Linked DNA regions of Struthio camelus. The protein of the gene in region 3 interacts with the protein of the main gene of each other region in a pairwise test. Links are inferred from orthologs where the notes say so. Each region holds a gene or a part of one and is shown on either strand. Other genes may lie near its edges. The genes, in order: STK4, MYLIP and RASSF5.

Region 1 (3,742 bases), on a different chromosome or scaffold from region 3:
AGGACTGGAAATTACAGACAACAAAGTTTAATCAGGCACACAGATCTTGGCGGAAACAAAGAGTCAGTTCTTTAAGATATCAGAATATATCTCAGGACCTATATGTTGGTGGTCAAATCTACAGTAGCACTGCAATGTTTCTTAGTTATTGAACATACCCGCTAAAGCTCAAAATCTCGTATAGCAGTATATGTACCAAGGCCATGCAAAGGGGACACGTGATCTTCTCTGACACCTTGTAGGGAGATCCCTCCCTTGTATGTAAGGGACACTTTTGTTGAGAGGAAAGAGACAATACTAATCTTACTTGTACACTCTTAACATCAGAAATCCAGATCTTGGCTTTGTGGGCCTGGGCATATACGAGGAAAAGAATATGCAGGAGGGGGGAACTGGGTTCTGACTCTTTTAGAATCTTTACATTGCTCATTCCATCCCTCTTTTTAGATTTATTGCTAAGAAGAGTCAGCTGAAATACTTCCCAGGAAAAAAAACATGCAGTTGTACAAACATGCCCTGTGATCCTTCACTTAACACATCCCACACACCTTTCAGAAAAATTCCATATACAAAGCAACAAGCAAACCCATTCCTTTCTTTTCAGTTCACCTTGACCATACTTTGAGCTGCTGATCAAGAAACCTCATACAACAGCTAAGGACCATATAAAAAAAAAAAGGGGGAGGGGGAGAAGGGGGCAGGGGGAGACAAAAAGTTCCCAAAACAAACCATTTTACTAACTATCCAACAGTCCACAAACAAGTGCTATAGCACTTTTATATGAAAGACCAAAGGAAAAAAAGCCCAAAAAAGAAAACCTCAAACCAGCTCACACAAGTTTGCAGAAGACAAACTAAGAACCATTTCCCAGATGTTCTTAGTCTTACATTCAAGCAACGTTAATTCATGGTTGCCTGCCACGACACAGAACTAATGAAAGTTTCTACTGCTACTGTTAAACATCACGGCCTCAAACAGAGGCATCGCAGTTCTGACACTAAGTATGCAATTTTTTCCCCATATCTTCAAAAGTAAATTGAGAAACCACTCACTGATCCCTGGCTATTATGTTTATGCACAAAAGCCATATAGGAGGAGCAGTACGCGCACGGAGTACATACAATGGCTTCCTGAAGTGAAGGAAACATTATAAAGAAGCAGACTCAGGAAGTGGCGAAATATTGAAAGTAGTCACCAGCTTCTCTGCACAGATAAGCATTAACCACCAAAATGCTACTTGTCCTTAAGAAAACAGGGGGGGAGGAAGGGGTGGGAAGAGGAGAAAAGGGAAAAAGCATATATAATAAAGATATATAAATAATAAAGAAGCAACCACAGTAGCCGCCATTTCCAAAGAGACCAAGAAACGGTGCTGCAGTTGGCAGATGCTTTGTGCCGAGGTTAAAACGAGGCCTGGGCCACCAAAAAAGAAAAAGTAAGAAGGCGAAACGCCGATCGTGTAACGCCGGCTAGAGTTTTCACAGGTCCAAACCCGCTCACCGGGCCCGAAGAGCCGACGTAACATCTTACTGCCACTCGGCACCAACGCGCCTCGAGCCTGCCTGGCGCGGGCCCGCTCGGGGCTCGCCCCGCGTTATCGGGCGCTCTCCGCCGTTACCCGCGTCGGGTGACGCCACGGGCACGGCGACAGCACCGAGCCACGCGCGCCCGAAGCGCCGCGAAGCACTCCAGCGTTGGCCCAGGCCTAACGCAACGGGGCCGCGCGTCCGACCCGGCCCGCGCGGCCCCGTCGCTGCTCGACGGCGAAACGGCGGCTGCCCGCGGCGGCGAAGGGCAGAGCCGGCAGCTTCCGCCGCTCGCCGCGCCTGACGGCCCCACGCTCCGCCGCGGCCGCCGACGGGCGCCAACCCCCGCGGGAGGAAAGGCGAGAGGAAGGGGAGCTGCGGCAGCCAGCCCGGCCGCCTCCCGTCACGGGAAGGGCCCGCCGGGCTCCCGCCGCTCCCCCCCCGCCACGGCGCCACAGGGCCGCCGCCCGCCCAGCGCCACGCAGAGGCGGGGCGAACCCCGCCCGGCCACCGCGGCGCGCTCACCGGCGCGGGTTGCGCAGCTGCACCGTCTCCATAGCGCGGCGGGCCGGCGGCGCGGGCGCTCAGCGCTCCATGACAGACCGGCCGCGCCGCTTCCGCCGGAAGCCGGAGGGGCGCGCCCGGCGCTCCGGCCCCGCCCGGCCCCGCCCCGGCCCGCCGGCTGCGCGGGGCGGGGCTGTGCGGAGGCCCCGCCCCCGAGGCGGGCGGCGCCTGCGCGGAGCGGCGGGGGCGGGCGGCGCCATGGAAGCGGCGGGCGGCGTGAGCAAGCTGCGCCGCGCCGGCAACGAGGAGTTCCGCCGCGGGCAGTACGGGCCGGCCGCCGCCCTCTACAGCCGGGCCCTGGCGCTGCTGGAGGCCGCAGGTACCGCGCGTCCCGGGGTGGGGATGGCGGGCAGGGGGCCGCCGCGCCGCAGCCCCCTCCCGCTTGTGTGCCGCCCGCAGGGGAGGCCGCCTCCGCCGCCGCCGCCGCGGAGAGGAGCGTGCTGCTCGCCAACCGCGCCGCCTGCCACCTCAAGGACGGCGCCTGCGGGCTCTGCGTGAGCGACTGCTCCCGGTAGGCGGCGGCGGCGGGGGTCGGGGAGGCCCTGGTGGGGGCGCTGAGGGGAGGGCAGTGAGGCGGGGGGTCGGGAGGCCTTCACGGGGGCAGGAGCGGAGGCTGGGGGGGGCGGGGAGGCCCTGGTGGGGGTGCTGAGGGCAGGCTGGGGGGGGGGTTGAAGAGGCCCTGGGGGGTGCTGAGGGCAGGCTGAGGGGGTGGGTCGGGGGGGCCCTGGGGGGGGGCGCTGAGGGCAGGCTGGGGGTTCAGGGAGGCCCTGGGGGGGTGCTGAGGGCAGGCTGAGGAGGGGGTTGAAGAGGCCCTGGGGGGTGCTGAGGGGAGGGCAGTGAGGCAGGGGGGATCGGGGAGGCCTTCAGGGGGTACTGAGGGGAGGCTGGGGGGGGGGTTGAGGAGGCCCTGGGGGGCGGTGAGGCCTTGGGGGCTGCAATGGGGCAGAGAGGGAAGCTGGAGGGGTTAGGGGGGCCCTGCTGCCCAGGGCCTGACTGCGTTCTCCTCCCTTACCCCTACCCCAAGTAAGGCCAGGGCCAGGGGCTAGGGGGAGCGGAGCAGGTGGCGGGGCTGCCCCATCTGTCCTCCCCTCGCTCACCCTCCGCAAGTAGCAGTGGCCATGTGGCCGTGTCCTGGCTTTCTGCTGTTGATCGGAGCAGTCCTCGGGACTTGCTAGCCCTTGAGCAAGAAAGGATAGGAAAAGATATGTTCCCCATTGAGAGGCGTCAACGGACCCTCTTCTCATAGGTAGCTTTAGTATTCATTGGTCTCTCTGTTTTCGTCCTGGTAGCACAAGTGAGCAGGGGCTGATTGTGTCTGCAGCACCTCTGCTGTAAATCTGGAGTGACTTGGTGAGTGCAGCCAAGTGCCAGACCTGGCTTGGAGTTTCATGGGAGTAGCACCAGGTGGCTCAGGTTGCCTGTTGTTTCCAATGACTCTTTCCAAAACAGATCTATAACAAGGAACTCGCATTAGAAAATGGCACTGTATAATTAACTGTATGACTTGCTCTTCAGAGAATACCAGGCCTGAGATAGGTTATGAGAAGGACAGCAGAACTTGGAACAGCTTATGCTGCTCATAATTTATAGTCTTGTGCTGAAAGCAGGAACTGGATATGGCTACCCTTGAGGATAAATGCCAGTATTTGCTA
Region 2 (3,742 bases), on a different chromosome or scaffold from region 3:
ATCCCACTTATATTAACTGTATTACCTAAAATTAGCTGGTGAGAAATGAGTTGAAAGGTCTTTATTTAACATATAAGCATTCAGCATTCTTTAAAGAGAAACTAATTGTGATCCATGTAGCAATCAAACTCACACAGTAAAAACAAATGCTTGCTATTAATCTTAGAAGGCTAATTGTTAAAATTGGATAACAGTGTTAACAATTTAGGTAGGAGGACTGGCCACAGAAGAAGCAAAACAGCTGTTTCTGTTGTAGCCTCAAACAGCCTATAGCTGTTTGAAAGTTACTGTAATATGATACTAAAAGGACAAAAAGGAATTCAGCAAGTTTACGCAGTGTGGGAGGAATTGTTTCCTGCCTTTCTGTACCAACGGTTTAAAACGACCCACAGTAACACCACTGCACAGGGGTTACTATCGGACATGCAAATACCATATAAGTAACTTGTTACTGGTAGCTTAGTTTCTCCCACTTGCAGCACTAAGTTTTCATGGAACTCCACTCTCACCACCCGCTGTTAGCTACACAATACTTACAATACTACAGATTTTATTCATTTTTCAAAAAAAGCAGTACTTCTCTTCAACACTCGGGTCTTAAAACAACTACTCAGAAAAGTCAACTTAAGATTATCAGAAGACACAAGAAATAGAACTAATGTGCAATTGCTTTTGTAAGTTACAGAAAAAGAAAAACAAAAGGATAAATTAGCTTTTCTTATAATCACCTTTAGCTTACCTTGTCTGTTCTTGTAAGATAAGATGTGGCTCTACAAAGAACTTGACCCGTAATTTCAATCTGTAAGGGGCTAAACCATCCATCTGCTGGGAGATCCTATTCCTCAAATTGAGCCACAGACTTTCCCCTTTGCTGCCAGTGAATTGCAGTCCAAAATAATCAACTTCTATAATTCCCAATCTTCGGCAAACCTGAAAGAAAGATGTTCTATATAATGAATCTATAACATGACTAGACCAAAAATATCTGAATCCAATACTGTTTCAGACTGCTCACATACTTAAACAGATAATTCCTGCTGTAAGCACCTTCATACAAAAGATTATGTAATGACTCTGATTTAAAATAAGCTATGTTCGAAACAGGATGTAAAAATACTGAACTGAGAATTTCTCTACTGGTTGAAAACCACATGAATTTCCAGGTGTGGTCGGGGTCTTCCCTCCCTCCCCCCACCCACTTAAGAGGATCAGTAGATTTCCAGAAGAGAAGACTATCTAATTCAACAGCACAGCAAATAGCACTTTCTAGGGAAGAAGGCGAAAAACATATATCCCACAAGTTTTATTTAGATGCCACCAACAGACTGGGCAGCTATGTTTGGCTGTCTCTTGCGTCCCACAGCAGCAGCCACTGCCACGTCGGGAAGAAGGCGACCAAGCAGCAGAGACACCTGGGCGACAGCCCCAGCTACCAGGGCTCCAACTAGGCTACACGGACTGATATTTAGCAGGGGGCTCAACACCGCCCGGGCGATGTCATCCCGACCAGGTGGGTCCCACTCGTCCCCTCTCCCCCAGGACAGGTAGAACGGGCTTCCACACTGCAGCAATGAGGCCGAGGCCTTCCCTCCTCCCCCTTTTCCACACGCCCTGCGAAGGAGGAGGCAGAAGGGCAATCACCGGCCCGGGAAGCCCCGAGGCGGGGGATACAGCCACCTCTGCATCCAACATGAAAAGGGGGGAGGGGAAACAGGGAGACTGCAGCGGCAGCTCCGGCTGCCTCCCCACCCCCATCCCGACGGACGCCCCTGCGCAGGGTTACATTGCCTCCCTCACGCCATCACCGCCCTTAACGCCTGCGAGCTGACAAGCTCGCGTGCTCCCCCCCCCTCCCCAAAACCCTCCCCGGCTCGCGGGGGACGATGCGCGCCTCCCCCCCCCCGGGCCTCGTGCGGTTCTGTCAGGCACCAACGGTCTGCGGCGCCCAACGGCCACTCGCTCACTCCTCCCCCCCCCCCCCCCAGCTCGCGCCCCTGGCAGGCAGCGAGGGAGAAAGACGGCGGCAACGGCGGGGAGCGAAGAGCGCAGGGCAGGGCGGCGCGGCCCCTCACCTGGTTGAGGCAGTCCTCGCCGTTGGCTTTCGCCTCTACCTCCACCTCCATCACCACCGCGTCCGGCCTGGTCACATAGCACAGCATGGCTGGGGCCAGCCAGCGCCGCCGCTCCCACGGACACCCGGAGCGACTGCGGCCAACTGCCACCGGCTGGCAAGCGCAGCTGCCGCTACAGGGCTGAGGTACGCACGCGTCCCCCGGCCGCCCACACCGCCCGCCCACCGCCCGCCGCCAGCGCAGCGCAGCGCAGCCCAACGCCGCACCTCCCCACCCTCTCCCCACTCCCCTAGTGCCTGAGCTCCGGCGGCCGCGCTCCCGGCCTATATAGGTTCCGTCTGCCCCTCCCCCCCGCCGAGCGGCACCTGTGGGCCAATCCGAAGGCGTCGCTCATCTCTGCGGGCCATCGCTCCCACCAATCAGAACCGCGGTCACTTGTAAAAGGGCCGCAGCCGAGGGGAGAGGGTGGGGGTGCGGCCGTTGCTCCCCGGCGCCCCCTGCCGGCCGGCCGCGCCACTCGGCGCTGCGGCTCCGCGCTCAGCGGCGGTCCCCGCGCGGGGGTCGCGGCGACGCTGGCCGTGTGGCGGCCGCTCTGCGCCACCAGCCTGCCTTCTCCCACCCCTTCCTTCTCCCCCACCCCCCCCCACCGCCGGTTACCTGCGTCCCCCATCCTCTGCGCAACCCGGAACTTGTTACTCGGGTGTTGCCTCGGGATAAATCACTCCCAAGCCCCGTTCTGCCGGGGGAAGGTGGGGACCAAACCCGCGGGCAAGGTCATCTCTCGGGGCAGGTCATCGTGAGCTGCGGGAAGGTGAAATGTTTGAATGCCTCATTTCTCGAGGTCGCAAAAGCTCTTTTTTTTTTTTTTTTTTTTGGAGGCAAAAATAACGCTTGGTTAATGGTCTTGCTCCTCTTTGGCCTTTTGCTGTGCAGTGTGCAAAGCTCTGGAAATGTGTCAATTTTAGGAACCGGCCACATCATATAGCAGCCTCCATGTACTTTCATGCTAGAGGATGATGGAGCTTTTAGCCACTTAACTCGCTAGGTGTGAGGCATGTAGGTGCCTTCCAGCTGGAGGAAGGGCACCAGCACCCTAGCAGTCCTTAAAAGTATTTGTTTGACAAATACTTTTGTCAAGTAACAAGTTGAGGCACAAGGTGCATCAACTAAAATAGCCCATCACTGCTCTAACAATATAAATTGGTCTGATGGAGGATTAAATACAAACGCACCTACGCTAGGTAGGTTCCCCAAAAGAAGTGCGGTGGAAGGAGAAGGGAGCGATGTAGAGTGAGGAGGGGCAGGCAGGCTGCCAGAGGAAGAAGCAGGAGAGGAAAACGAGGACCTGAAAGTATCTTGGAGGGTAACAGGAAAAAGTACCACCCACAGCACCGGTGTGATGTCACCGCGGGACTGAGCATTAGCTTGCCCCCACATCTATGAATCATTTGCTTCTATTTGGGTATTTCGGCTGCACTTGTCAGGGTGATTAGTATCTTTTATTTATATTAAAGAACCTTTCAGAACAGGGGGCCGTTCTCCTCAGTACTTTGCAAAAGCAGTATATGGCTGGTCTGGTAAGGGCAGATAGATGTGTCTCTGTTTTGCTCACATGAACGCTGTAACTAGAAGGCAGCTCTTCTCTGAATGAGGCAGAATGGTAGCAGGCA
Region 3 (3,742 bases):
GGCAGCGCCGCAGCGGATAATCGCTGCTTTAGCCACCGCTTCCCGCGCGCGGAAACGACTCGCTCCGCGCAGACACGCATCTGCTAAGCAGAGGTTTGGGGGAGCCCAACGAACCCCAAAGAGGAGCACAGAAGCACGGTTCTCTCCTTAAATCCGCTTCGGGAAAGTCTCTCTCCGTTGCCCAGGGACAACTCCAGGCTGCCGCAGACCGGCTTCTGGCCCAAGTCTTAACTCTTCACCAGAGTCCACCTTGGTTTTAAACAGTACGAAGGGGCAAAAGCTGCTGGAAAAAAATCTCAGCCAGGTATCTAGCAACGTTCTACCAAAAAGCAGCGTTAAGCCAACATCTGAAACTCCATTTACTTTGGGTAAATGAATTTTCCGCGCAGATCAGACGCGGGCTTCCCATCTGCCCTGGGACTAGTCGCTTACTGACGATTTTGGGGCCAGGAGGAAGCAGCGTGGTGACCCTCGTCTCGCCTCCCCCATTTCCCACGCACCAGGTCACGGCCCGGCACGGCCTCCCTGCTCCCCCCAGTGACGCCCCGCGGGAAAACACCGGCTTTTCTGCCGCGCGGGGCGGGAAACCTCCCTCGCCGGCCGCGGCGAAGCCCCGGGGCTCCCCCAGCGCAGCCCGCGCCCCGGCCCGCTGCCGGCCCCGCTCCTCCGCTTGCGACCTTTATTTATTTAATATATATATATTTTTTATGTATTAATTTCAGGCACCCGCTGAAACGGCTGCACCTCGCTGCGGGTCATCGGTCCGGCAGCAGCAGAGGACGCAAGCAAAAGCCAACAAGCCTGATCCTCTCCCCTCCCGTGCAAATCGGCTCCCACGCGGCCGGGTTTTTAAGCGATGGTTTAACCTTCCGGCATAGAAGTAACTCGCATCTCGACTTCTGTGGCACCAAGTAATCGTACTGATGCGCCCTGTGGCACGCACCGCAGCCTTCTCCTTGACGCTGCCTTCAGGCCGCTGTGGCTGCTACAGACCCCGCGGGACCCTCTGCGCCATTAAACAGCTGAAGACTTCCGGAGCGGACGCGGGGATTACTGCACATCCCCGATGCAGACTGCAGCGTCTAGATCCCCCCGGGCTGCTGAACCCCTCAAGGCTACGAAGCCAGCAAAGCCCACGCTTGCATCCCGCCGAGACGCAGGAGGCGTCCGCCTCGGCCTCTCCTGCTGCGGCGGGGAGGACCTGGGCTAACCCCTTCGGGAGGGAGGGAGGCACCAGGTCTCCAAAACAGAGGCCGCTTACCATCAGCAGGCTGTTCCCAAGAGGCCCCGCATCTCCGATCCGCGACGAAACGTCGTCACGCTCCAACCTCCCGCGCGCGCCCGGCTCTGCCGGCGGCGGCGGCCCCGGGAAGCGCCGCGCTCCCGACCCCCGGCCCTACCTGGCTGCAGCTCAGCATCAGGGTGCTGTCGGGCGAGAGCTGGCCCAGGGGCTGTCCCGGCCGGCGGCAGTCCAGCTGGACGAGGCTCCGGCATTCCTGGTGGCAGGTGTAGCTGCAGTCTGGGCAGGAGGAAACACAGCAGTGAGGCGCCGGCACGAGCAACGCGGCGGCGCGGGGCCAAGCGAGAAGCAGCCCCGTTCGCCCCGGACCGAGGGCCGCGGTCGGGTTATGCGTCCGCGACCGCGAGCGAAGCACGCGGACCCGTTTTGGCAGAGAGGGAAGAGCTGCAGAGCACCTGACCCAGAACAAAAATTGCTTCCGCACCCGCCGCGGAGGAAACCTTTACGCGTTGCTGCAGGGCCGCGGTTTGCACCTCGCACCCCGCCGCCCTTTCCCCTGGTCTGCTGGCAGATTAATATACAAAATAACCAAAACATTCAATTTTAGTGAGCTAGCTTGGGCAGCGGAGGAAAGCAGTCAGCGAGTGCAAACACTTTGAGGGCCGGCTGCCTTAGGGAAATGACGGCTCCACCACGGGGTCCTGCCGAAACGCCCCCGGAGAAGCCACGGACCCGTCCCGGGGCGGCAGGCGGCACCCGACCACCTCCGAGCGCGCGCGCGCTGCCCGGGTGGAATCGGGCATTTGATTTCTTTGGCCGCCGACCCGTTCTGCTGTAAGACATTAACTAGCGCGAGGTAGAAATTACACGGAAAACTTCACAAAGCCCCGGGTTAACCTTTTAAGGCGTGCGGTACCGCTTTCCGACGACGGCGGCTGCACGACCAGCATTGTCAGAAACAGCTGTTCCACTTATTTATTGCCCTATTGCTCCCCAGCCCTTTCCCTCGAAGACCCGACTTTTCCAGACCCTCTTGGCTGCAGCTAACCACCTCCTTCTGCTTTAATGACCTTACTGATCCTTTTAATTTTTAACTGCCGTATAAACAGAGTTCAATTTACTTTTACACGACCCAAAATTCCAGAGCAGTCACTGAACTGGGGGAGGGGAAAAAAAAAAGAAAACCTAAATCCCAGGCAAAGGAGTTCACGGCACAGTCAGAGACGGGATTTTGGATCTCCGGAGCACAGGAAGGTTTCAGCACTGCTCACACTGCTCTTCCCACCTCCACGGTTTGGTGAGCTCTGCACCCTGACCCAAGGCCCACGATCACTAAAAGTGGCCTTTTTTCTGGGTCATTGCTTGCAAACGTCTTGGGTTTGCAGGGAAGCAGAGGAGCATCCCCAGTTTGCTCTGGAAACGGTGATTCCCGCTCGGCAGTGCTGAGCGCCCGGGAACCAGAGGAGCTGAACCACGGCTGGGAGCCGGTGCCGGAGCGGGGAGGCACCAGCCTGCAGGGGAAACAGGGAAATCACTTATCTGACATTCATCCAGCACGAGCTGCCTACCGTTTCCTTATTCCAAGCCAGTTTGCTGGCGTAAGCCTGGGGGGAAAGCAGGGAGGGCTTTTTTTTTAATTAGACATAAGCGGAACAGTTACACAGTAATTTTAATGCATGACCTTTCGTGCAAGTGGAAGAGCCCTGTAATAGGGGACGACGGGCAAGTCTTTGCTGGAGGCACCAATCGGAGGATGCTTCAGTCGCACCTGAGCACTCGGCGGCAGCGCAGAATTGCAGCCCCGGGACGACGGAGCGGCAGCAGCATCCTGGCTGGGGGCGAGCGGCTGAAATGCTCCCTGGCACGGAAAACGGGAGGATAGAAAATGGTCCCCCGGGTCCCGGCCTAGGGATTTGGGTTCGCCCTCAGCATCCGGCTGGGCTCCCTGCCGCAGGGCCACGGCCCCAGCCCAAAAAAATGCCGGTAAAAAGGAAATTCCCAGCCCAGGGTTGCAAAAGCAGCAGGCTCCGGCAGACAGGAACGTCGCTGGAGCTTCATATAGACCACAGCAATTACGGCACACAGTTGCAGCGCGTCCCCGGATCAGGCCCATTATGGCCAGGCATTTCTTTACAGGATTAAAGTATGACACCTCCTTAGTCACTGCCACCTATTAGCAGACCTAATCACCCGGTATCTGGCAGGGAACACTAATTTTAGAAACTAAACACGGCTTTAGGATGTGGCCACGTGACGGGCTTGCCGAGAGCTGCTGCAGCAGGATGCCTCCACTTGCGCTTTGAGATAGTTTCCATTCAAGCCCAAGTGACACTTGGAAATACAATTGCTTTAAAAAAATAAAAATCGAGTCAGATCCCGACGCAGCAACAAATTTCAGGGACCGAAAGAAATTCCCCCCTAGCCATAGCTGAAGTTGGCCGGGGTGGGAACGACGCAGGGGGGGCCCAGGGAGCAGCCACATGGCCCGGGGCGAGCCAAACC

What was found.
Region 1: the proteins of RASSF5 (region 3) and STK4 interact in binary tests that used the Homo sapiens proteins (3 or more experiments, as listed by UniProt). The link is inferred for Struthio camelus from reciprocal best matches to the Homo sapiens genes RASSF5 and STK4.
Region 2: the proteins of RASSF5 (region 3) and MYLIP interact in binary tests that used the Homo sapiens proteins (3 or more experiments, as listed by UniProt). The two-hybrid records come from large-scale screens. The link is inferred for Struthio camelus from reciprocal best matches to the Homo sapiens genes RASSF5 and MYLIP.

What each region holds. Positions count from the first base shown.
Region 1 is NC_090959.1:7,813,825-7,817,566, forward strand, and holds the start of STK4 (serine/threonine-protein kinase 4), read right to left. Parts: upstream 2,184-3,742; 5' UTR 2,084-2,183; coding exon 2,052-2,083; intron 1-2,051. Other genes in the region: TOMM34 (mitochondrial import receptor subunit TOM34), read left to right, coding at 2,289-2,409, 2,490-2,601. UniProt on the Homo sapiens protein: Stress-activated, pro-apoptotic kinase which, following caspase-cleavage, enters the nucleus and induces chromatin condensation followed by internucleosomal DNA fragmentation.
Region 2 is NC_090943.1:99,291,091-99,294,832, reverse strand, and holds the start of MYLIP (E3 ubiquitin-protein ligase MYLIP), read right to left. Parts: upstream 2,367-3,742; 5' UTR 2,160-2,366; coding exon 2,073-2,159; intron 931-2,072; coding exon 740-930; intron 1-739. UniProt on the Homo sapiens protein: E3 ubiquitin-protein ligase that mediates ubiquitination and subsequent proteasomal degradation of myosin regulatory light chain (MRLC), LDLR, VLDLR and LRP8. Activity depends on E2 enzymes of the UBE2D family.
Region 3 is NC_090965.1:7,801,228-7,804,969, reverse strand, and holds the start of RASSF5 (ras association domain-containing protein 5), read right to left. Parts: upstream 2,874-3,742; 5' UTR 2,191-2,873; coding exon of another isoform or gene 2,157-2,190; 5' UTR 1,838-2,156; coding exon 1,696-1,837; intron 1,520-1,695; coding exon 1,401-1,519; intron 1-1,400. UniProt on the Homo sapiens protein: Potential tumor suppressor. Seems to be involved in lymphocyte adhesion by linking RAP1A activation upon T-cell receptor or chemokine stimulation to integrin activation.